7 linked regions of the Xenopus tropicalis genome follow. The protein of the gene in region 3 purifies or fractionates together with the protein of the main gene of each other region. This does not show direct contact. Links are inferred from orthologs where the notes say so. Each region holds a gene or a part of one and is shown on either strand. Other genes may lie near its edges.

Region 1 (3,500 bases), on a different chromosome or scaffold from region 3:
CTTCCTAAACAGGGATCATATGCAATTAAGTCATAGGACCAGTCTAGGAGAACAAATCGAATTGTTACGTCAGATTTAAGAGGTGTGTTCTCAATTTACTCCAAACTGACCCCTGACCCCATTCATATCCAGAAAGAGGTGATCAGCCAACCAGATTAGAAATCATGTAAACAAACCTCACAGGCAGACCACTGGTTTGCTATAAGTGACAATCTGCCTACCTTAATCTCTTTTTCAGCTGTAAAGCTCAAACTGCTTTAAATAAATATATTTTTGTGGAATATGTTTGTGTTTAGATTTACCTTCTGATCCTCCAGCTCCTGCTCCTTTAGTAATCTCTCCAAGTCATCCATATCATTATGTTTAAAGTACTTGATACTGCTTCGTGATGCTTGTAAGCCTTTTTGAATAGCAAAACATGCAGCCTCATCGCTGAAGAAAAGCATACACAAATTTGAAAATTAGTTTCTAAAGTGGTAAGCTCTTAATGGTTGACGCTTAAACTAAATAAAAAGTAGCGACTTTCTTTGTTAGTTTGATTAAAGTGCACAAACTTTAGATTATTATAAACTGCCATGATGAAAACCTATATGACGAAAGCCCATTTCCCCATTATGCACAAAGCATGAAATTATTTTGTTGAGAACAATTCTTTCCAGTGTAAAGAATTAAAAGAGAAGGCAAGGCAAAGTCACTTGGGGGTGCCAAAATGTTAGGCACCCCAAAGTGACTTTAATCGCTTACCTCATACCCCGGGCTGGTGCCCCTGTACGGAGAGAACAGCACCGAGGCCGAGGTAGCTGTAGCGCTTCCTCGCGTGCACGCGCATGAACAGTAGAGTGAAAAGGCCGAACTTCAACAGAGAAGTCGGCTTTCCGCTCTACTGCGCATGCGCCTGTCTTTAGTCCTTCCAAAAGCGAAGGCGGAAGGAGGAAGAGCTGCGCTACAGGTACTCCGGGCTGCTGCTGTTTTCTCCTAACAGGGGGACCAGCCCGGGTTACAAGGTAAGCGATTAAAGTCACTTGGGGGTGCCTAACATTTAGAGTGCTGTTGCCCTTAAAACTTTTGCCACGGTTGTGTTCTGAAGCACATTATACATTTTAAAATCCGTTCTTAAAACCAGGAGCCAGTCCTTATTTTCAGTTTTAATACTAAAATAATAGTCACCAGAATGAAACAAGAGGCCCTCTAATTATATGAATTCTCCTTCACCCTTAGCTTAATGTCACTGGAAAATGGATTCTCTATAATTGGGCTTTTATTGTCCATCTAATTTGCTATATCGTAATAAATTTCTAGGGGGGAGAAAATGGCATATAAGAAAATGCAACAAAGAAAGTTCACCCAGCACACCCTTACCTCCTCCAACAATTCTTACTCAGTGCACACCCAGAGAGTCGGCACTCCCAGCACAATCCAGCAAAAAATAGTTGACCAGCACAACGAGTGTAATGCAAGCGGGGCTTGGACCCTGCGTGTTTGTTCAATAAACTATTCAATAAGAAAATGCAACTTTAATGTTGCTGGCTTGGTGGGCAGTTTACACAAACTTGAACTGTGAAACCCAATAAATTAATTGTTGGTGCATAAATTAGCCCTATCGGAGTATGTAGCTCCAAAATGGGAGATCATAGAACACCTTGATAACTTTAAATATCTTTCTATTTTTAGCACAGTTAAATTATGCCCTATACTTAATTACAGTTACTACTTGTTACATATAATTATAGAAATGAGGTATATTAAAAGGGGTGGTTCACCCACCTTTAAGTTAACTTTTAGTATCTTACACAATGGCCAATTGTAAGCATCTTTTCAATTAGTCTTCAGTATTTTTTTTTTTTTTTTTTATAGTTTTTAAATTGTTTGCTTTCTTCTTCCAAACCTTTGCAGCTTTCATATGGGGGTCACTGACCCCAGCAGCCAAAAAACTATTGCTCTGTGAGGTTACAGATGTATTATTATTACTTTACATAACTTATTTCTGTCCAGGTCCTCTCCTATTCATTTACCAGTCTCATTTAAACTGCTCACTGGTTACTAAGGTTATTTGAACCCTAGCAACCAGCTGCTAAAAGTCCAGGAGAGCTGCTGAACCAAAAAGTCAAAAAATTAAACTAAAAATATAAAACGGAGGACCAACTGCAAATTGTCTCAGAATATTACTCACTACATCATACTAAAAGTTAACTGAAATATTTAAGGAAAGGGTTAACCCATGAATAAAGTACCCACAAATATTGTTGTATTTGCATCATTATAAAGAGAATAGGAAAAACTCTGCCTGTTAGGTTTTTTCCAAGACATCTGCTCACATTACAAACAGCACAATGCCAGAAGGAGAAAGTTTCATACAATGATGATCACAGTTGTTTTCTGCCAAAATGTAAATTAAAGTAGTACAAGAAAGCTGTAGATTCAATCAGACATTTCCTGGTTTGTATATGGCAAAAATCACTTGGATTTATTCAAAAAGCCTTGATGAGGAACACAGAAGCTGATCGGAAATAATCCTTTTAAGATAAATTGACTGTTTAGAGATGAACAGTTTCACTCCAATAATTTTACAGTAGGAGAAAATGTATTTGGCTCCAAAACGCCTGTACAGAAAATAATGGTCTTGATGCAGCCAAGATACATGAAACCAGATTTTTTTTTTCCCCAAAAAGGTAACTAAAGTATAAAAATGCCCAGCTTCATTCAATAGCACCTCATGCACCTATTTGTATTATTGCTGAAGAAGTGTACAATTAAGGAAATATTACAATGGCGTCACTATTCTAGAATTTCAACAGACCCAAAGTATTCATAATGAAACAGATGTTGAGTATATCTGGCAGATTACAGAAGTTTTATGATTTAGCGAACTGTTCTATGTTTAGGTGTCACTAACAATAATTTTGGCTATTCTAGAGGAGATGGACATGAGTTTGACATGAGTGTGCTATTTGAATAACAGAAAGAAAAAGTAATAAAAAGATGGAAAGTGAGAGGTTGCCCTCCCGCAGGACGGCATTCTATTGTCACAAAACATCTGATCCTGCTGTGTGTGTCTTCAGCACCGCAATAAAAATTGGGAATACCCCCACTGCAACCATATGGGTATTATTGCCTTCATTTTGGATTTGGATTTCTACACTGGCGGCAGAGGCCAACTTTAATACCGGTTATCCCCCAAGCATTCAATCCTAGAATAAGCAGGTCGAGAGAAACCTTTAAACACAAGATAGAGGAGATATATTGCCAATACTGAAATCTATGCTAGGTATTTATTAATGTAGCTGAAATAATACCGGAGTGCTTAGACTTACAATAGTGACAATAGTGAGAATTGCAGATTATGACAATAATTAAATTTTTTGCTGAATTATGCAGATTTCTTATAATGGGGTAATGAAAGGACTGAAAGGGTTAAAAAAAAAAAAAGTTGACCATTTCCATTATCTTTGTGGGCCACCTTTGCCCATTTATGCCAGTGATATACTATACCATAACAGCTA
Region 2 (3,500 bases), on a different chromosome or scaffold from region 3:
TTAATGTATACTATCCTTTATTTTTATAGCAATCATGAGAAGCTTTTCATTGCTGCAGGAAGCCATCATCCCTTATATACCCTCTGTGATCAGCCAACTAACACAGAAGTTGCTTGCAGTGAGCAAGGTGTGGTGTTTTAATACTTTTTCAGTGTTTGCACAAATTAGCGGGCCTTTTTTTGTGTGATGTGGTCAGTGTTATTCAGATTATTTTTTTTTTCTGTCAGCAATATTTGTGGTTTTCTAATTACTTAAAGGGGAAGGAAAGGCAAAGTCACTTGGGGGTGCCAAAATGTTAAGCACCCCCAAGTGACTTTAACCGCTTACCTTGTACCCCGGGCTGGTGCCCCTGTTAAAAGAAAATAGCACCAGCCCGGGGCACCTGGAGCGCAGTGCTTCCTCCTTCCGCCTTCCACTTCCTAAACTGCCGGTGGCCGGGCATGCACAGTAGAGCGAAAAAGCCGACTTAAATGTTTAAGTTCGGCTTTTCACTCTACTGCGCATGCGCGCGCAGCGAAGCCGGAAGGAGGAAGCGCCGGCAGCTACCCCGGGCTGGTGCTGTTTTCTCCTGACAGCGGCACCAGCCCGGGGGAAAAGGTAGGAGGTTAAAGTCACTTGGGGGTGCCTAACATTTTGGCATCCCCAAGTGACTTTACCTTTCTTTTTCCTTTAACGTTTTTGTCCTACTGCTGGAGAGGGCCTGTATAAACATGCAAGAAATATAATGCCTAGCGTCACCATCTGCATTCTACATTTCTGACTGGCATAGCCTATATAAGAATCATTGTTGGTCTCCAATTAGTGATTTCATAGATCAGAGGGGAACTTAGAACCACCGAATTGCCATTGGATCAATGTTCGTTTTATGCCAGCATGGTAGATCCTATGGTTTGTGGCAGCATGTATAGGGTTAAAGCAAGGTCTGCTTGCTAGAGTTCAGATAGAAAACTGACTGTTGCAAATAAAACTGAGGTTGTATTCTTTACTCTTTTAGAATCCAAGCAAACCTCATTTCAATCACTACTTGTTTGAGGCCATCTGTTTATCTATACGGATCACCTGCAGAGCAAACCCTGCTGCTGTTGGGAGCTTTGAGGATGCCCTCTTCCTGGTCTTCACAGAGATCCTGCAGAGCGATGTTCAAGGTACAGTATTACAGTATGATATAGAGGTGTGTGCCTTTGTCTGTGGCTCGGTACTGTTGGTTAGAAGTAATAGGTCTAGTTCTTAAGTACGGCTAGAGCCAGATGGATATTGTGTCCCATGGCACAGAAAAAATGTAAGTACCAATGGTGACTCTACACATGCTTCTCACACAGCCTCTACCTTTCAAACTGCATATTGAAATCCTCTGCCTATGTGCCACTCGCATCCCTATTAGAAGCTGCCAAGAGGATTTGGATGCTGAATGTGCTGTACCTCTGAACACATGCAGCAGTCCTATGACACTTGATAATGTAGCAGTCAATTCTAGTAATTCCCTCTCATGCTTTTCGTTTCAGAGTTCATCCCCTATGTCTTTCAAGTCATGTCATTGCTCCTGGAAATTCACGCAAATGATATCCCAACATCCTACATGGCCCTGTTTCCTCACCTCCTTCAGCCAGTTCTGTGGGAGAGAACTGGTAACATCCCTCCACTTGTCAGACTTCTGCAAGCCTACCTAGAGAGAGGTGCCAATACCATTGCTGCAAGTGCCTCCGATAAAATTGTAAGTTTGCTTTATTTTTCTATGAGCAGTATTATCATGCCCATTTCTTAGTGGCCCAAGGAAGACTTCAGTGGTCAATTGTGCTTTGAGGTTATGGAAATCTAAAATGATACAAAGCTGACTTCCAGCTCTTTTCTCTACAGCTTCTAATGTACATGATTTGGATATTAATGATTGTCTTTTGTTTGTAGCCTGGTCTCCTTGGTGTCTTCCAAAAACTCATTGCCTCTAAAGCCAACGATCATCAAGGATTTTATCTGCTAAACAGTATTATTGAGCACTTGCCCGCGTAAGTTAAAAACACACAATTGATTTAATCCCTTGTCTAGTCCATGCCTTTGAAAGGAGTTGGGTAGAAATTACATGTTCTCATTGAGGCCAGATAAATTAAAAATATGCCAGTAAGCACTTGTAAGTTTCCCTTTTCTGTGCACCACTCAGTATGTTGCTTTTATGATATCAAAGTGCTCAGAAATGACATTATTTGCCAAGCAGTCCTGACATTTTTCTGTTGGATTTCTACTTATCTAATTGGTTGGCACATGTGTTTATAAAGTATGTCCTGATTGTGCTTGTGTGCCTGCAGAGAATGTATTGAGCAATACAAGAGGCAGATCTTCATTGTTCTTTTCCAAAGGCTCCAAAGCTCCAAAACGACAAAGTTTGTGAAAAGTAAGTCCATTTGTGTTAATTTGAGTAATGTGCAGTCTGGCGAATGTTTTACTATACCACACATTTTCTTTTTCTGTATCTAAATATGCTGAGCAACCATTGGCCTGGCCCTTAATACAACCAATTGTTTTTATAGTTTACACAGTTCTATGAAATAATAACAGTCTAAAGGCACAAGTGTAGCTGAATCAACTGTTACCAAAATTATATTTAAGTACATGCATTCTCCCCAAAAACTGTTTTATTATAAGTGAAATTTGGTTTCTGCGTGTGTGATTGCTTGCCTTTACACTCGCTATAGCACCAGAGCTAAACAACTGGAATTTTGTGTAGATACTGCTATTCAGAACACATGGAGTTTGCTACTTCATGGTTTCATAGTCTGTGGGGCATGTAGGGGTAACTGGGACACAATCTGCTCCTTTGACCCTCACACTAAAGTAGCCTGGGATGCTATATGCTGTACAATGTTTATATTATATACTTGTGCTTATGGTTTAAGCACCTCAGTGACTTCTAATATCCTTATCATTTACAGTAGGGGGTACATTATCCCTTATAATACATGAGTGATACTCAGAGTTCCCTGTATAACTCAGCCTGCAGCCTTGTGCCTTTATATGGTCACAGAACCCCTCAGTGACTGCTAATATCCTTATCATTTACAGTAGGGGGTACATTATCCCTTATAATACATGAGTGATACTCAGAGTTCCCTGTATAACTCAGCCTGCAGCCTTGTGCCTTTATATGGTCACAGAACCCCTCAGTGACTGCTAATATCCTTATCATTTACAGTAGGGGGTACATTATCCCTTATAATACATGAGAATATATGTATTCTTAGTAGAGTATACATTGTAGCTAGTAAGTTACATTATTAGTCTATTTTATAGTGTCATAATTCTGTTCTTCAGTTAATGTGCTTTCATATTGAGGTGTGTGCTGCGTGTACACAAATCGTTTCTATATTGTTCTATGTTACAATTAATTTTATTACCATGGAAATAATTAAATCCTGGCCCAAAATGATACATTGATGTGCACAGAAATCCTCCAGTGCATCTGGTTATTGTTGAGTCACTGATTATAGAGCCATAAAATGGTTGTAATATTG
Region 3 (3,989 bases):
ACTTTTTTAAAAAGGTCGGGGGATCCCTGCTCTATAGCATCTCACAGCAGCCCTTCTGTCAGCTGAGGTTCAACTCCACATTATCCCTTGGTCCATCCTGGCTGCTCAGTGAAGGACCCTTTGATTTTTTCTATGCCCTTCATAAAAGGCATCTGCCTCTTACCAGCTTTTACTGGGTGGCTGGAGGAGGGCTGGGGGCTCAGTTGTTTAACACAGGGTTACCAGATCACATGAAATTTCAGGGACACCTATACATGTTACATTTAATTGCAATCACTGCAGCCCTGGATTTTATTGACACGTTCCATAATTTTGAAGTTAAATGGTAACTTCTTATCTAGACACCTAATATGCACCGCATTGATCCAAACAGTCACAGGTGTCATTTTTGATTCCCTGGAACACTCTAATCTGGCGTTTCATGTGACAGCGGAAGACGTGGTGCTTTACAGCCCATCGCAGAAAGACAAACTTTAGCTTTGTTAAAACGTATTTGTTGACAAAATGTATTTGTCAAGCAGTAGTTTTCAGCTTCCATTTTACTTTTTGAAGCACTCCAGCATTTACAAAATTATATTTTGCTCATAAATATAAACGATTCTGCTGATTTGCTAGTGAACTGCATTATTGCGCGAATTGTCTCCTATTGTGTTTGTTGTGACCAATAGGTGGCGCTGCTTCCCTTGCTCCTATGAAGCTCTGCCAGGAGTGAGCGATAATAATGCCCGTAGCTCGGCTCGTCCTGGAGTGTGAGGAAGGCTGTGGGAGGGGGAGTGGAATGAGGCACACCTCTCCGTGATGTCACAGCAGCCAAACATGCCAGATTCTTTTCGTGAGGGACTCACACAGACCGGCTCGTTCTGTCAAAAGTTTTGCAACTCCTGGGAAGTGAGTGTGGAAATAGGGATAAGCAGTTCCTGTCACTGGCACTTCGTTTACTCCCTGCTGTTTCTCCATACACCAGATAAGAGAAGACACTGGACTGTCTCATGTGAGAGAGCCCCACAATAAGCTCGGAGTCCAACGCTCTCAGCTTCCTTCTATTCCCTCCGCTCCCCCGTGGGTATATATCGTGTTCACAATGGATGTGAGGCGTTCTGTGGATTTGGGTCACTGAAACAAGACCGGTGTCAGAGGCAGCAGATAAAGCACAGGACTGCAGGAAGGATCCATCCTCATTTCTGTTCTTGGGGGTAGCTGAAGACTCGGGATGGGGTCTTTTAGCCGGAGTGTGGGATTATATATCTGCGTCTTCTTCGTCAGTCAGTCCTGCTTTTCTCTGGAAGAAAAGAAAGGTAAGGAAAGAAATTCACTTGCCACTTCATTGCTTCTGTGCCTGTAGGGAAGCCAGCCCTGGCACACAAAGGGTTATCAGACTTTCTGCGTTTCTGATAGTGGCAGTGTTGGTTTGGCTAGTGAATTGCCTCTCTCTACATCCACTTATTGATTTCCTGTGACCTACAGAGTGTAGCCAGGAGTATAGGGTGAGCCTACCTGGCTGGATACAGGTAATCCTCCTCTGGTCTGAATATGGGACAAGGGGACTCCCTGTGCCTCCTATGGGAACTATAAGGATACAGGAAATACACAAGAAAGTAAATCCCTTTCCTTCAGTGGGCTGTGACAGCAATATTACAAAATTATCCTGAGAAATTGGTCTTGTGTTTTGAAAAGACATGCTTTTGTGATGGCAGAGACTGTCCTGGAGTGTGAGCTGTGTACATTTGTAGTCACCCTGTGTATAAACTTGTGACTATGTCCTTGTAGAATGGTTACAGAAACACCTCTATAAAAGAGATACTTAGTGGGTGGATGTAATAAAAATCATCCTATGGTATAATTGCATAAATAAGAACAAAAATGTGTGCTCAGCAATGCATTATTTGACTATTATTGCAATATTATGCATTAGACAAATATTGCATTGTGACTTTTAATTACACATAACACATTTGTAAGACCTGCTGCAAGGTGGCATATTTTTTGTGCAAATTTTTTTTTGTTTAATTAAGAAGCTTTATAACCTATACTGTGCACTAATGCAAACAATAAACTGCACAGTATTTTTGTACTGTTATATGGGTTGCTAAATAGTTTAGCTGGTTTGCAAACCCTATATTAAATATGTTCAAAGGATAAAAAGCTTGCATAGTGAATAATTTTTCTGACTTAAGTTACTTTGCCCTCATTGGAACTCATCTTCAGCTTCAAAACCCACACACAGGGCATAAGGCAAGAGCAAGGAACTTAAAAAAACTACAAACAGTTATTTACATAACTTACAACAGTTTTATTTGCATTTGATGGATTGATTGATGCAGCAGATAAACAAGTGTTTAAATATGTATATATCTACAGTATATATAGAGAGGCAGGCTTACTGGTGAGTGAATGTATGTATAGTTATAAAACGCCAGCATCTGGACTTAATATAAAATATCTGTGACATTTCATGGGAGCCTATGCTACTGTCCAACAATGATTTTTTTTTTGTTTTTTTTAATGAAATTGATCTTGCCTCTGTTTTCAGTTATGTGTTGTAGCTTATATAACATTAAGAACAAAACCCATTTTTTTTTTATAAATAAGTAGGTGGGTGAAATTCTTCTCTGACTTCTGAGCAATTTGTTTTACCACGCTCTTTCAGACCACAGATGGTTAACATATACTGTCATGTGTGTAGTTAATAGGATCCGCTAAATAACTACTAAGGCTAAGATGCTGGCTCCCCACCCTTTTTAGAAAAGAATTTATCAGGAGCTTGCTATACAAGCACAGATTTGTATTTGTTCTAGTACATTGCACTTTGTACTGTAAAAATAACAATACTTTAACAGTTCTGTCATGTGGGCATGCTGAAGTCTTGACTTGGGGCAATAGAATTCAGTCTGTTCCAGGTGTGCAGTTCGACTGAATAAATGTGACAATGTAAACGGGGTTTCGTACGATATTATCAGTGAGTGTATGGCCAGCTTTAGACTAAACTTGTCCCCCCACCATAATTTTTATTTCCTTCTGCCACAGTGGTTGCAAATTCTGTTGGTGCCACAAACATTCCACTATGGAATGTATAAATAAATAAATACATGTCAAATCTCAATGAAACCTTTATTTAATGTTTGTGTTTTGCATATTTTATACTTATTTCAGCCGCTTTACATAATATTTTGTCTTATATAAATTGGTACAAATGTCATTGCTGCTGATATCACACTGATATTTACCTGGAGCCAAAGGATTTTTTGTACTTGTGTGTATGATATATTTATGACATTCCTTCAGTAAGACCTCTGCCTGGTATCTGTGCACCTGACTCCCTGTTTTTGCTTTATGTGTTTGGCCAAAGATGGATTAAACAGCTTCCTTCTACTGCCTAACAAAAAAAAACATTACGTCAGTCCATCTGTTTAATTACAGTGCAATATTGGCAGCCCAAAACTGCATATCAATCTTCATATGTTAGATAACATCAGGATGGCTGATATACAGAAGTGCTGGCTGGCACAATAGGAGAGTTCTCTACTACGCATAGAGAGTTGGGTAGAACTTTCAGAACTTCATGGAAGAATTGCTATGCCTTTGAACACTGTATGACTGTGGGTATTTGTGAGCCCGAAGAACTGTGCCACATTTAATCATTTTATAAGATAAAACTAAAACCAAGCTCCCTGCAATAACTTGATCATACACTTTTAAATCTTCATGCCTGGACAGAGCATAGGTGATGATTTAGTATCATGGTTGTTCATTTCTTCTAATGGTTCTAATGTAATTAAACTTTTGATTGTGTAATATCACTTACGAGTTTTACAGCAGGGAAAAACAATTGGACCAACACTTCCTGATCTCTATGGAATTCTGTCTAATCTGAAAACCTACCTTGTCTAGCAGGGGAAGGCAACAGTCATCAAGCAAGCTGACCTCTTTACTGAAACCATAGTAAATGTACAAGGCTGGAGTTCAGTTTCCATGTTTGAATCAAGTTGCTG
Region 4 (2,718 bases), on a different chromosome or scaffold from region 3:
TTTGTCTGCATATCTGCAGAGAGGAATGTGCAGTTAGCCGTTTCTAATGCATAAATAAGATAAACATTTAAAGGGGACCTGTCACCCTAATAAATAATTCCAAATTGTTTTCTATTGTGTTTGTCAAGAAAAATCAACTTTATTCACACCATATAAATTATTTAAATCTTGTTTCCTTCAATCCTGGAATTCACAATCACAGCAAGTAGGCAGGTGCCATTTTGGACATTTTGTTATGAAGATAAGCTTTTCATCATGCCAAAATCTTGTGCCAAAATGGGGGACCTGATGCCCATGCACTGGCTACACAATGCACGTATGCCTAGCCCTATATATATATACATAGTGCTGATAGTAGGGGATACTAATAAGTTTTAACAAGATTCTGTTTTAACAATGGCCTGTCTCCTAGAGCAAATAACAGGACATGGTCTAGATTACATGAGCTCCTGCTGGGCCTTGTAAAGGCACCTAATTACTGTACTGTTTAACACTAATTATTGTACTCAATACCGTTGGTTGTACAATACTTTCTGACATGTATTTTGTTTACTTTTTCAAGCTTTGCAATAAACCTGGGAAAAGATAGTTCAAACTATGTCCTTCACTTTAATCCTCGATTTGACCACCAAGGCGACAACAAGAAAATCATCTGCAACTCAAAGGAAGAAAACTGCTGGGGGAAAGAGCAGAGGGAGACTGCTTTCCCATTCCAACAAGGAGCAGAGACATCGGTAAGCATGAGCATATGATGGTCACATGATTAATGAATATTTCTGTAAAATGGTAGGATTGGCCTCCAATCAAGGCTGTTGGAGTTCAAAATAAAAGTCCAGAATGAAATATGCTATTTGCTGGACACTCTTTGGGATGTGATGCACCCAGGTGGTTCAGAAACCTGTATAAAACACATTTGTTATATGAACTGATCATGTGACTGGTGGATTAAGTGAATGGATTGAGGCCACATTTATGGTGAATAGAATCAGGTTATTCTGAGCATATACAAAATGTGAGAGTGATCCCGTGTCCTGACTATTTTGGACGAGGTGAATGATTCTTTCCTAAATGCAAATGATATATAGCTATCTCTTCCAGAGGGCACCCCTATTAATAGTGTCTTTTTATAATAGAGGGATGAGGGGAGCCAGGTTGAGTGTATTTCTAGTGTAGAATTAGGATGAGCATACTTTATTTCCACTATGTGGGGAATACAAGAGGACATTTACAATGCATAGCCCTTATTTGGCACCTCCAGGTACCTTTTTTATGCTTGTGGTGCTCCCCAACTCTTTTTACATTTGAATGTGGCTCACGGGTTAAAAAGGTTGGGGATCCCTGTTCTAGATACTCCTGAAACCTCAGCCTGGGCTCCCTTTACAGTGAGTTTTGGGATGAACATTTCTTTTATGTTTTAGATATTTGTATCCATCATAATTTTTCATATATATGCAACCTTGTTAGCTAAGGGGGTCCATCCAAATGTTAGACCTTAAACGAGGAAATAAATCCAAAAACGCAAAAAAACACTGCTCTAAGATCTGGTAATATAGCAGCATGAGCGTGTGAAGCATAAGCAAGTAGTTAGAATCAGGGAGAGCCACTGGAATAGCTGTGTAAGGGCCAGAGTAGCACAGGGACTGAGCATTGAGAACATCCCAGTGCTCCTTGTTAAAAGGTTTAACAGCATGAGGAAGAGTATGACAAGATTTGATGATGGATTTATAGTCAGACAAGTTATCCGGCACTGTCTTTCTGAATTAAGTCAGCATATTTGTCTTTATTTGTGTGACTTACAGCAATCATTATCTCTATTTTGACAGATTTGTTTTGAGTATCAAGCAGATCATTTAAAGGTGAAGTTATCCGATGGCCAAGAATTCACCTTCCCCATCCGAATGCCCTTGGATACCATTACATTCCTCTGTATGGATGGAATAGAGCTCAAGTCTTTTTCGCTTCATTAACAGCTCTGCGGCCTCCACAGTCAATAGAAGCCACTAGGCCACATATATAACATGTCATACAGGAAATGTTCTTCGACCCATAATGCACTGTCACTGACAAGCTGTGGGGAGGACTATATAGTTCCTAGTTAGAAAATTTTCTTTCACAAAAGCTACTAAAGCTTTATGTTATCTTATGCAATATATCCTTAGCAGATCTCTCTGTACTTACTATAAACATGAAGTAATAAATCTTTGTTTCATTTATTGTCTGTGCTTGCTCTTGTCTCTTGCTAGTGTTTTCTAAACTCTCCAGGACTGACTATATGCTAAGGTTACCCAATCATGTGAAATACCTGGGACACCTCTAGATATTTCAACTAAAGGGGCTACACTGATTGTTTTTATTTTTAGGCAATTGGTTTGCAATCAGTGCAGCACAGAAAGAGCCTACATTCATTTGTCCCTGGTTTGGTAGTGTCATGATATTTTTCTCACTTAGCACCCTACTGCTCGCTGAGCACCCACAGGCACAGATCTTTGCACTTCAGAATGGAGTGCAAGGACCTGAGTCTTGCTGATGAATACAATGCTCATGAGTTTGGCAGCACTGTATTCAGGAGGGGTGGCACACTGGTGACCTCTATTCAGCCTCCTAATTGCCCCCTAACATCATACATTCAACTACATCATTCAGACATGTTATGAGGTGAATTTGGATGAATGGTGATAGGGAGCTTGCTGCCTGCCTATTTTGGGTGTTTTTGTGCCC
Region 5 (4,141 bases), on a different chromosome or scaffold from region 3:
GTGTGTTTGCTACAGTAACACTACTATAATTTATATAATAAGCTGCTGTGTAGCCACGGGGGCAGCCATTCAAGCTGGGAGAAAAAGCACAGGTTACATAGCAGATAACAGATAAGTTCTGTAGAGTACAATAGTGTTTTATCTGTTATCTGCTATGTGCCTGTGCCTTTTCTCCTTTGAATGGCTGCCTCCATAGCTGCATAGCAGCTTATTTATATAAATTATAGTAGACTTTCTGAAGTAAACACACAACTTTTACCAGTGCAGGGCAGCAGCACATTATATTTTAGTTACTTTTATACACTTTCATTTTTTGGTGTTACTGTTCCTTTAAATATGCAGCAGTTTTGGTCTCTAGAGCCTTATTGATAGAGTTCAAAGAAGAGGGAACAAGCTGATAAAGGGAATAGAAAGGCTGATGAAATGCTATGATAACCATGTATGAATGCACCTTACAATAAACTTTTTAAAGGGAGCAAGAACCACAGAACCATTGTTGACAACCAACATACAAGGCTGGCTGCTTGTACTCATGTCCTGCAAGCCCTATTAACCGTAAATTATGCCCACCAATTTCCACTTGGTTTTCTCCTTGTAGTCCTGCTCATATGATAAGCTTAAAGCATGGGTATTCGGCATGTAATAAATGTACTTGTTTGTAATGAAAAATTGCCTTTGACCCATGTTTTCTGATTACAATATTGGACCCTGGGCAACTTGGAATTGTCTATTGCAGTCACAAAGAAGCAGCATCCCTTCTGATGAGATGACAACTTCGCTCTTTAAACGGCATGGCTATATGTTGTAAAGTTATCACGTTTCTGTGAAGCCTTGCAGCTATTCGGTAGGGAAGCTGTCCCTTAAGACAATTCCAAAGACGCAAATTTGTATAAATATATGTATGTACAATCTTACCTAGCGTGGGTACACACGAAACATCAACAGCTATACACTACAAGGCGGAGCCTGCATATACTATGACCTACGGAATACAAGTGGACGCAAATCTCTGTCGGCCATTAATATGACAGACACGTATTTTAAAAGGCTGATAAAACACCACGTATGTGAGTGTAAAAAAAATCATTAGGCGTTTTTCGTGGTGTTTAACCATACCAATTCTTAGAATTCACGTGGTCGTCAATCAATTCAACTGATTTCAGTGCCACGTAGCGGTTGGAACGCAAGGCGTGCTGCAGTGAACCGCATCAGGCACGATTGGCAGCACGTTCCCGCCCTCACTAACGCGCAGTTGGATTGGAGCCTGAGTATTTGCCGGTTCCGGACTCTAGGCGTCATCGTGGTCTCACCACCCCCTTCTCTTTCCTTTTACATAAGATTCCCGGATGTGACTCTTGTTCCCTCGATCCTTCTAGAAGCTGTTAGACGGAGAAGACCGCTAGCCACCTTGAATATACAGTGCATTATCGTGGGTATGAAGGCATTAATACATTTATTTATTGTTGATTTTGTTGTTTTTTTTATCCCAGCTAAATGGAACACGTGCCGTGTTTTCTGTCTCAAACGTAGTCGTTGCTTTTATATGAGCGAGTTTTGGATGTAAGCGGTTATTGACTATATTTTTTGCAGGTTAGAATTGAACTCTAACGTTTTTCCCTAATGAATAGTACGCCTGGCTATGATTTTTTTAAATTCCTTTGGGTTATGATATCACATTTGTCGGTCCGAGGTTATGTGGGTTCGTCTTTGGTCGGCGAGGAGGTACTGAGCTAGGTGCCTGATGTTGGCTATTCTCTTGTCACGTGACTTGGCAGTGTTGGTCATTTGACTGGGGTCAGTGTTTCATTGCTCTTTTCTCCTGATTGAAGGCTCCCTGGGGCTCAGTTTTGGATCAATACCGGGTTTTAGTGTTTCTAGGCAATGAATGCCTGAAAAGTGACCCACCTCTAATTGTGTTGCTAAGAGAATTGCATAAGTGTATCCACACATGAAATACATCATAATGCATAGGTTTTAGCGGTACAAAACCCATGGCATCCTTCAGAAGTCTGACCACTTTGTGAGAATTAACTATTTCTATGCACGTTGTCCCAAAGTGTATTACCAGGATTTCTGTAGTTTAACAGTAGTGCTGGTGTCATATTTTGTTGGTTTATTTTTTTCTTTTATTTATGATTATGATTATTTAACTTATGATTATTTATGATGATCAATGCAATTCAACTTCCTACATGTTGCAGAGAGACTGTTACCTATTCCACATATTCATTATACAATTTACACATTTACTTAAAGGAACAGTAATGCCAAAAAATGTTAGCCTTTTAAAGTAATTAAAATGTACTGTTGCCTTGCACTGGTAAAACTGGCATGTTTGCTACAGATTTCCTACTATAGTTTATATAAATAAGCTGCTGTGTAGCCATGGGGGCAGCCATTCAGATTGGGGGGAAAAAGGCACAGGGTACTTAGCAGATAACAAATAATGCTCCATTATATTTTACAGAGCTTATCGGTTATCTGCTATGTAACCTGTGCCTTTTCTTCTTTGAATGGCTGCCCCCATGGCTACACAGCAGCTTTGTTTATATAAACTAGAGTAGCCTTTCATTTTTTGATGTTACTGTTACTTTAATGTAAAGCAGCTTGGCAGACACAGACAAGGGGTCATTAAAGGAACAGTAACACCAAAAAATGAAAGTGTATAAAAGTAATTACAATATAATGTACTGTTGCCCTGCATTGGTACAACTGGTGTGTTTGCCTCAGAAAGACTACTATAATTTATATAAGTAAGCTGCTGTGTAGCCATGGGGGCAGCCATTCAAAGGAGAAAAGGCACAGGTTACTTAGCAGATAACAGATAAACCCTCATTATATGGGGCTTATCAACTAGTTATCTGCTATGTAACCTGTGCCTTTTTTCCAGCTTGAATGGCTGCCCCCATGGCTACACAGCAGCTTATTTATAAAGTAGCTTTTCTGTAGCAAAAACACAATTTTTTTTTGCAGAGCAACAGCACATTATATTTTGATTACTTTAAAACATAATAATTTTTTGATGTTACTGTTCCTTTAAGATACCACAGATACAGAGTGCACTTCCAAATGCAATCACCATGTTTTCTACCCACTGGGAAGCTCCCCCCCCCCCCCCCCCCACAGAATTCCATTGCTTTGTTGTGGTTGCCAGGGAGAGTTGACAGGATTATGGGTTGTGTGTCAAAAATGACTTCGTTTGATGCAAATCGTAAACACTGAAATTTTATTTTTTGCAATTAAGGAAGAAAGAAAGAAAATTGATATTCTCTCTTCCTAAATTGCATTTATGTTTTTGATCATGCACACCCTCATGCACAATTTATTTTTGCATTTTTTTATTTAAGTGTTGGTGCCCCATCTATATCTTCAATTTTATTTTTTGATCTGTCAGATGTTATATCTGGGATTTAGCGTGGTTCTTTTGGTGCCTCTGCACTGCACCTATTTTAGTAGGCAACTTTGAGTACCCTGAAGCTACTGCCTGGTTCAGAGATGGCAGTAGTGCTAGGGTTCTCCCTGCATCAGTAGGCACAACTATGTGCAATTCAAAACAGGCAGAAGTGCAGAGCGCAACTGTACAGAAGTGCAAGGACTGCATGTTGATGTAAGTAACTTCAAAGAAGGGTAATTTTTGTGCAACTGACTGCAATTGCACTTCATTAACTAAATGACCCCAATGGAGTGGTGACAGCATTTCGCATTTTTTTTTTCACACAAGGTCTAAGGTGGGATTTATCAACAGTCGAGTTTGTTTTCCTTTCGATTTAGGTATTTTGGCACTTTAAAAAAAAAAAAAAAAAAAAACCTCAAATTTGAGTTGTTTCAAAAACTCGAATGTCTGGTATTTATTAAGTGCAAACACCCCAAAAATTAGAATGTAAAACTTTACCGTGTAAAAGCTTGCAGATTTCTATGTTTTCTCCCAGATAATGGCAGCAGAAAAGGTTCTATGTGCCAGCTCACCCATGTGACTTCATCTCTGCAGGAAACTGCTTTGATTTGAATGCTAATTGCCTGGGTCCAGCTCACTGGCTGATTATCATTGAAAATGTGGCCTTTTGCGACTCATTTGATTTCTAACTCAGTGGGCGGGTGGCAAAATATTAGGAACTGCTCAAGCTAGTTTTTTGGTGGCTGG
Region 6 (3,500 bases), on a different chromosome or scaffold from region 3:
AAGAGTACACCATAAAAATCATGACAGATAGTTTAACTATCTCACTCATGCCAAAAATATGATGTAAATAATGCTATGGACAGTACAAAGGAAAATAAAATTATATACATTTTGCAGGACAAAAGACAAATACAATTTGCTCATGCAGACATAGCAGAGATGCTGCACTGTGTCCATCATGTGTCCATAATTCAATTCCCAGCATTCTCTAAAGGTAAAGAAAAAGAAAGGCTGACTCACCTGACTCACTAACAGCTGAGACTACAGTTCCACCTGGAGCAAATGGATCATTATTTTTTAAAGTGTCTTCCTTGAGAAAAGATAAAATATGCTTATTAATTGTAAATAAAAACAGAACATTATTGTTTAAAAAAATAAAAAAAGCGTATGTTTTAATCATGACACATTGGGGTGGGAAGGTTTGGCTCTATAAACAAATCTAATGCATATGACTCAGCCGTGCTACATAGATTCCAGTGTTTCCATGATGCTTCTCCTAGATAAAAATGGATTAATGTGGATTTGAATTTGCCTTCCCATTAGTGAGAGGTTGAGTAAAGTTCAGTGCACAGTTCAGTTTTTATGCTTTTAGGGTTATCATTATGCCAGTTTGCATTATCTGTTTGCAATAAAATATGTGCTCACATCAGCTGGTATTTCTAAAGTAGCTAGAGTGTTAAAACTAACACTGAGAAGAAAACATGTTGCTGCAGAAAGAGTACAACCTTACATATGGTACAGTGCTTCCACTTTATCAATGATAAAGTAATAAAAGCTAATCCGCCCCACTAATATTCAACTGAATATTTATACAATAACAGCTATGATTCATATTCCAAAAATGCTCTGAGTAATTATTCAACAACAGTCTAAGCTTAACATCATCTAGAGGGCCATAAGCAGGTCTTCCATTTTATATCACATGTGCGGGACACACAGTATACAGATACGTACAGAAGAAAAAGTGCTTTCTGTGGCTAAGAAAGGATCAACTTTGGCAGATGTGAAAGGATCTTGTTCAGAGGACTTGAAAGGATCAGCGCTGGAGGGCTGGAAAGGATCAGCTTTTGAAGATGTTAAAGACTCTGCTTTGGAGGACACAAATGGATCTGCATTCGACGATGTGAAAGAATCCGCTTTGGACTTGGAGAAAAGATCTTCTTTAGAAGAATCCACTTTAGAAGATGCAAAAGGATCTGCAGAAGCCTGTTTGAAAAATACATCAGAGGCGAACGGATCGGAATCTTTAAAAGGATCCCCACCAAATGGATCTGTCAGGAACAGAGAAAAAAAGATTTTTTTTTAAAAAAAAGTCTTGTTTTACATGTGGCAATTCAAACAGAAGCTTTTTTTTTTTTTTTATTTATTAAAGTTTATATACATGGATAAGTGTTGCCATATATTGCTAGTCTAGGCAGAGATATCTCCTTAGACTTCACAAACATTCTAACACTACTAAATGTTTATACTTCCTTTTAAGCTTTTAAGGGATACAGTCAGGGTTACCATCAAAATGTTGGCTAGTGAAAAGGTATTTTAGGTGACTTGTGCTACGACCCTCAAGAAAATTATTTCATATGCACCGTGTCATATTCAGAGACTTTCATAACGTACAGGCTTTTGGACAATAGGTTTATGTGCCCAGATTTAAAATAATATAGGAGTAATTTAAAACAAAACAGAACATAGTGTACAAAGTAGGAATGCAGAGACCTGCTTCTTTCCCCATAAATACTGACTACATGACTGCATTAGTCAGCATGGTATTGTTGAAGGGGGGATGGGCATGTATGTGTCCTCACCCAGCCCCCAACTGGTGCGACATTCAGACGTGCAAGTTAAGGAGCAGCAGTGGGCCTTGTTGCCTGTGCCCCCTATGGATAAGGCCCCTTAAGCAGGTGTTTTTAGGCCAACAGGAGCACCTTCGCTTTTCTCAAGCTGAGACAAAACTCAAGGCTCAGACCAGCAGAACCAACACTCCATGGTGCCTTACCCTAACACACTCTGCTTGGTGCACTCTCAGCTCTAGATTTTTAATCCAGAGTGCAGCATTCCCTGAGGCTTGAGTGCTTGTTAAGCATTTGCACCCCGGGAATCAGTAAACAACCCCTCATGTAAAACAACATATGGGGTTTATCTATATATAACTAGTGGATTGATATATCTCTGTAAATATAAGAACAACAATCAATAGTTATGCTAACTGAATGTGTGCGCTGTTAGGCAAGGGTTCAGCCCATCAGTGCACACAGAGCAGATTTCAGTACAGTACGCATCAAAATCTGCTCTCTGTGTACACATTGATTATGGGCTGATCCCATGTCGCACACACATGTATGTAGTGGAAGGCAGAGGATCAGCTTTTTACACTAGTGAAGGAAACAGTGCATGTGCCTCCATATATAAGACCACAATAACACAGGATTTCAGTTCATACATGCCAAAGCAGACATTTACATTAAAAAAAAAAAAAATTAAAAAGAAAATTTACCTATTTTCCCAAATGGATCATCTTTAAAAGGATCGCCTGGAATATAAATGAAATCATATGCAAATAAAACCATATGTAAGGTCCACATGCTTTTCAAACCTGCTTTAAAAGGGACAGACATTAAGAACTATGTTTTTTTTAACATAGCATACATAATTGTTTTCCAAATAAAAAGCAATTAAAATGCAATGTAGTGTTGCTTCAGAAACACTATGATAGTTTATACAAATAAGCTGTTTTGAAGCCATGGGGGCAGCCATTCATGGGATAAAATGCATATATAGCAGATAAGCTCTAAAGAATATAATGATGTTCTACAGAGCTTATCCGTTATCTGCTATTTAACCTCTGTCATTTAGCCGTACTTCAATTGCTTCCACTGCTATGCAGCATCTTGTTTATATAAACTATAGCAGTGTTTCTGAAGCAAACACACCAATTCAGGGCAACACCACATTACATTTTAATTACTTTAAAACACTTGTTACCATTCCTTTAAGTATGAGGATTCCCTTCCTGGTTTGTCAGCCTTAAGGAAGTTGCAGGCAATTCTTAAAATGACCACTTTTTCAAGCCTGTATCTATTCATCAGGCACCTACAAATAAAGTATTTCTTGGCAAGAAATGTCCTACAGTCAGTCTGTAGTCTTGTGAAGAGCCATTATGGCATTCAACTCTTGTTTATTTTTCTGTATAAGAAGTAAACCTGTGGTATTCTGAACACCTTCTCAATCAGACATTTTCTATGACTTACTGCCAACAAAAGGATCACTCTGAAAGAAATCCAATCCGGGATCTTGGACAGGAGCAGAAGGGGGAGCAACTGGATTCACGTCATAGGGATCAACCTGAAAACTGACCTCCTACAGAAAAAAACATTTCACATTAATTCAGTTCCACTTCAGGTTCAGCTGATTCATTAGAGAAACTCTACTACTGCATAAAAGGTAAGGACACTGCAGTGCAAATGTAGATCCTTTTTAATGTGCTTTTTTATATCCACTAAAGA
Region 7 (3,410 bases), on a different chromosome or scaffold from region 3:
CAGCGCCACTAATCTCTGAGATCCGGTTGGCTGGCACGTGCCCCCATTCTCAGTCCCTGAGCCCATGCCCCCCCACCTTCCCGCTGTTATTAGTTCAGCCCAGGTGGCACGGGGTCATTATATCTGCTGCTGTGGCACCGCCCAAATCTGCCCCAGTCATGCCAGCGCAAGCGGGCAGCAAAACATGTGCCCTGGGGGGGCAGGTCCAACTGGGAAAATCATTTATTGCAAAACCCCCTCCCTCTGTATTGAATGGGCACAAGCACCCTTCCTTGGGAACCAGTACCCCTTGGCCCACCACTGCCTACAGAACCAACCCAATGGGACAAGTTCTGGAATGCACCCCAATGCCCCATCACCTGACGGGGCAGATATTCCCTTCCCCCCCCCCCCAACACCGTGTCAGGCATTTAGGAGTCCCACACACAGGTGGGGGGTTGGAGGGTAGTTACCCGGGTATGATTGCCCCCTAGTGGCAGCAGGCAGGAGCCACACGAGGATTTAGGGATAAAATAGAAAATCTAATTTATTCTCTCACATTTCTGGCAACAAGGGAATAAAAAGTCGGTTCTTCCCGACCAATGAGCAGCCTCATCCTATTAACCATACGTGTGCCAGTCCCCTCCTCTCCGTATCCCATAATCCCCCATACCCAGGAACACACACAGCCAATGGAAACGCACAGAATGGCTGTCACAGTGCCCCCCTATTGCAGCAGGGGGTGGTGGGAGAAGGGGAACAGTCTGGTTCTACAGATCCGGTCACACAGGCCCAGAGAGACCTCTAATACCCCGGCCTGAGCGCTTTGCATTTAACCCTTTGTGCCACTGGCTGGGGCACAAGAACGAGTGGAGGGGTATAAAGTTCTGTTACCCAGGGGGCGGCACAGCAGGAAAATCTACCCCCGAGGAAGTGTCTCTTGTCCTCACGTCTGTTCTGCCCGGACGGGGGTCTCTCTGCGCAGCTTATCAGCCAAGCTCCGGTCAGCTTCACCCACGGCAGCCAGGAAAGTGCCCACCTACAAGGGAACACAGGGGCAGAATGGGCACTCTGCACTATCTGTGTATATAGCACTCACGCTCTCTAAGGGCACACTCGCTCTCTCACTGAGGGAGCACTCTCACCCCCTGAGGGGGGAAGCACACCCTCTCTCTCTCACACACCACCTGAGGGGGAGGCACACACACTCACTGAGGGAGCACTCTCACACTCACCCACTGATGGAAGGGGGGGGCACACACACTCACTGAGGGAGCACTCTCACACTCACCCACTGATGGAAGGGGGGGGCACACACACTCACTGAGGGAGCACTCTCACACTCACCCCCTGATGGAAGGGGGGGGCACACACACTCACTGAGGGAGCACTCTCACACTCACCCACTGATGGAAGGGGGGGGCACACACACTCACTGAGGGAGCACTCTCACACTCACCCACTGATGGAAGGGGGGGGGGCACACACACTCACTGAGAGAGCACTCTCACACTCACCCACTGATGGAAGGGGGGGGGGGGCACACACTCACTGAGAGAGCACTCTCACACTCACCCACTGATGGAAGGGGGGGGCACACACACTCACTGAGAGAGCACTCTCACACTCACCCACTGATGGAAGGGGGGGGGCACACACTCACTGAGAGAGCACTCTCACACTCACCCCGAGGGAAGGGGGGGGGGCACACACACTCACTGAGAGAGCACTCTCACACTCACCCCGAGGGAAGGGGGGGGGGGCACACACACTCACTGAGAGAGCACTCTCACACTCACCCCGAGGGAAGGGGGGGCACACACACTCACTGAGAGCACTCTCACACTCACCCCGAGGGAAGGGGGGGGGGCACACACTCACTGAGAGAGCACTCTCACACTCACCCCCTGAGCGAGGGCACACACTCACACTCACCCCCTGAGGGGGGGGCACACACTCACACTCACCCCCTGAGCGAGGGCACACACACTCACCCCCTGAGATTATATTACATAGGGCACAAAGGCTGGCACAGCAGTACTCACGGAGGTGCTGTAGAGGGGCAGAAGGTTCCGGAGGGCACACTGGCAGCGCCGCTCAGTAATATGCCCCAGGCTGATGCCCTGCAACACGCTGTCCTGGAGAGAAGAGACAGGGAGTTTTGCTACAGTTGGACCGAGACCCAGGCAGAACCTGGGATAAAGACCCAAATGATAGGCCCTCTGTACACCAGAGCCATAGGAACCAATGAGGAAGAAGCAGAGGCCATGTTTGTACCTTGCTGAGCTCTGATAGGATGTTGGAGAGGAACTCGCAGCTCACGTCCTTCAGGATCTGTAAATGGGAATTGTCCTGCCGAGCGTCTGGGCCCTCGCGGGCGTCACTCTCCGGGCACTTCTTCCGGCACTCCTCCAGGTTCTCCAGAACTTGGGCCAGGCTGCTGATTAGGGGCAAACCTGACAGAAATACAAGTGCAATTTAAGGACCAGGAGTGACCCTCCTGCCCCCCAGAAACACACTGTAGGGGGGGGGGGAGAACAGGAGCCCTGCGTGGTGCAAAGGGGCAAGTAAGCCTTGGTACCGTCACCCTGACACCCCAACACCCATAACCCCAGTACATAGAATGGTAACTTCCCACTAAAGCTGCTGTTAAGGTGGCCATACACGAGGCGATTTCGCTCGTTGTGCGATGAACGATTATATCGACAAACGATCGTATGGCGATCGAGTTCCCATACGATATGCCATCCACGGGCAACGATAATTCGGGAAAGATTTCGTCGCATCATTATCGTAAAATACGTACGATCGTACATCTACGTACGATCGAATGTCGTTGACTTCCACTGCTGGCAATCGTGATATGCGCAGAGAACAATCGTTGAAAGACAAATGTCTGACACTCACACCAACTGGCAGATTTTATCGTTAAACGACCAAAATTTTTAAACCTGGCCGATCGATTTTGGGGACGATAATGTCGGCTCGTTTAGTGGGCCGACGATCGTTCGTACACCACCAACTATACGATAACTTAACGATAGCATCGGATTGTTCGGGAATCGGTCGTTTGTAAGTAAAAAATCGGTCCGTGTATGGCCACCTTTAGAGAATGCTGAATACTGGGCCTAAGCTCACAGTGCCCCCTAGTGGCTATCTGATAATGTGGCGCCCAGGTTCCAGAAGCTCCAATCACTCGCCAGGAAAATACTGGGATTGGGGCAGAACCAATGCAGCTCATTGGCTCAGACATTTCTCAGAGTCGAGGGTTTACACACTGCAGCACCACCTCTCAGGGTGTCCCATAGGACTTAACTGAACAGCGCCACCATCTGCCCCGTACTGTAGGGAATAACTGTGATACTCACTCTTCTCCACTTTGTGCCCCTGCTCTGCCCGCCACACAAACATGGCCGACATAACTGCCAGCA

What was found.
Region 1: the proteins of egfr (region 3) and sptlc1 purify together in Homo sapiens (affinity purification with mass spectrometry, with the first as the bait; 3 studies listed by BioGRID). This does not show direct contact. The link is inferred for Xenopus tropicalis from reciprocal best matches to the Homo sapiens genes EGFR and SPTLC1.
Region 2: the proteins of egfr (region 3) and cse1l purify together in Homo sapiens (affinity purification with mass spectrometry; 4 studies listed by BioGRID and IntAct, with this or other methods). This does not show direct contact. The link is inferred for Xenopus tropicalis from reciprocal best matches to the Homo sapiens genes EGFR and CSE1L.
Region 4: the proteins of egfr (region 3) and lgals1.1 purify together in Homo sapiens (affinity purification with mass spectrometry; 3 studies listed by BioGRID and IntAct, with this or other methods). This does not show direct contact. The link is inferred for Xenopus tropicalis from reciprocal best matches to the Homo sapiens genes EGFR and LGALS1.
Region 5: the proteins of egfr (region 3) and dnaja1 purify together in Homo sapiens (affinity purification with mass spectrometry; 3 studies listed by BioGRID and IntAct, with this or other methods). This does not show direct contact. The link is inferred for Xenopus tropicalis from reciprocal best matches to the Homo sapiens genes EGFR and DNAJA1.
Region 6: the proteins of egfr (region 3) and eps15 purify together in Homo sapiens (affinity purification with western blotting; 6 studies listed by BioGRID and IntAct, with this or other methods). This does not show direct contact. The link is inferred for Xenopus tropicalis from reciprocal best matches to the Homo sapiens genes EGFR and EPS15.
Region 7: the proteins of egfr (region 3) and saal1 purify together in Homo sapiens (affinity purification with mass spectrometry; 4 studies listed by BioGRID and IntAct, with this or other methods). This does not show direct contact. The link is inferred for Xenopus tropicalis from reciprocal best matches to the Homo sapiens genes EGFR and SAAL1.

What each region holds. Positions count from the first base shown.
Region 1 is NC_030677.2:139,054,854-139,058,353, forward strand, and holds part of sptlc1 (serine palmitoyltransferase 1), read right to left. Parts: intron 433-3,500; coding exon 303-432; intron 1-302. UniProt on the Homo sapiens protein: Component of the serine palmitoyltransferase multisubunit enzyme (SPT) that catalyzes the initial and rate-limiting step in sphingolipid biosynthesis by condensing L-serine and activated acyl-CoA (most commonly palmitoyl-CoA) to form long-chain bases.
Region 2 is NC_030686.2:38,128,593-38,132,092, forward strand, and holds part of cse1l (exportin-2), read left to right. Parts: intron 1-29; coding exon 30-127; intron 128-994; coding exon 995-1,145; intron 1,146-1,502; coding exon 1,503-1,711; intron 1,712-1,902; coding exon 1,903-2,000; intron 2,001-2,297; coding exon 2,298-2,383; intron 2,384-3,500. UniProt on the Homo sapiens protein: Export receptor for importin-alpha. Mediates importin-alpha re-export from the nucleus to the cytoplasm after import substrates (cargos) have been released into the nucleoplasm.
Region 3 is NC_030682.2:56,743,987-56,747,975, forward strand, and holds the start of egfr (epidermal growth factor receptor), read left to right. Parts: upstream 1-1,189; 5' UTR 1,190-1,210; coding exon 1,211-1,295; intron 1,296-3,989. UniProt on the Homo sapiens protein: Receptor tyrosine kinase binding ligands of the EGF family and activating several signaling cascades to convert extracellular cues into appropriate cellular responses.
Region 4 is NC_030680.2:122,667,265-122,669,982, reverse strand, and holds the end of lgals1.1 (galectin-1), read left to right. Parts: intron 1-562; coding exon 563-734; intron 735-1,823; coding exon 1,824-1,967; 3' UTR 1,968-2,218; downstream 2,219-2,718. UniProt on the Homo sapiens protein: Lectin that binds beta-galactoside and a wide array of complex carbohydrates. Plays a role in regulating apoptosis, cell proliferation and cell differentiation. Inhibits CD45 protein phosphatase activity and therefore the dephosphorylation of Lyn kinase.
Region 5 is NC_030677.2:94,451,940-94,456,080, reverse strand, and holds the start of dnaja1 (dnaJ homolog subfamily A member 1), read left to right. Parts: upstream 1-1,341; 5' UTR 1,342-1,433; intron 1,434-4,141.
Region 6 is NC_030680.2:96,281,152-96,284,651, forward strand, and holds part of eps15 (epidermal growth factor receptor substrate 15), read right to left. Parts: intron 3,355-3,500; coding exon 3,246-3,354; intron 2,528-3,245; coding exon 2,492-2,527; intron 1,272-2,491; coding exon 955-1,271; intron 311-954; coding exon 241-310; intron 1-240. UniProt on the Homo sapiens protein: Involved in cell growth regulation. May be involved in the regulation of mitogenic signals and control of cell proliferation. Involved in the internalization of ligand-inducible receptors of the receptor tyrosine kinase (RTK) type, in particular EGFR.
Region 7 is NC_030680.2:1,078,385-1,081,794, forward strand, and holds the end of saal1 (protein saal1), read right to left. Parts: coding exon 3,348-3,410; intron 2,436-3,347; coding exon 2,257-2,435; intron 2,118-2,256; coding exon 2,025-2,117; intron 1,019-2,024; coding exon 926-1,018; 3' UTR 501-925; downstream 1-500. UniProt on the Homo sapiens protein: Plays a role in promoting the proliferation of synovial fibroblasts in response to pro-inflammatory stimuli.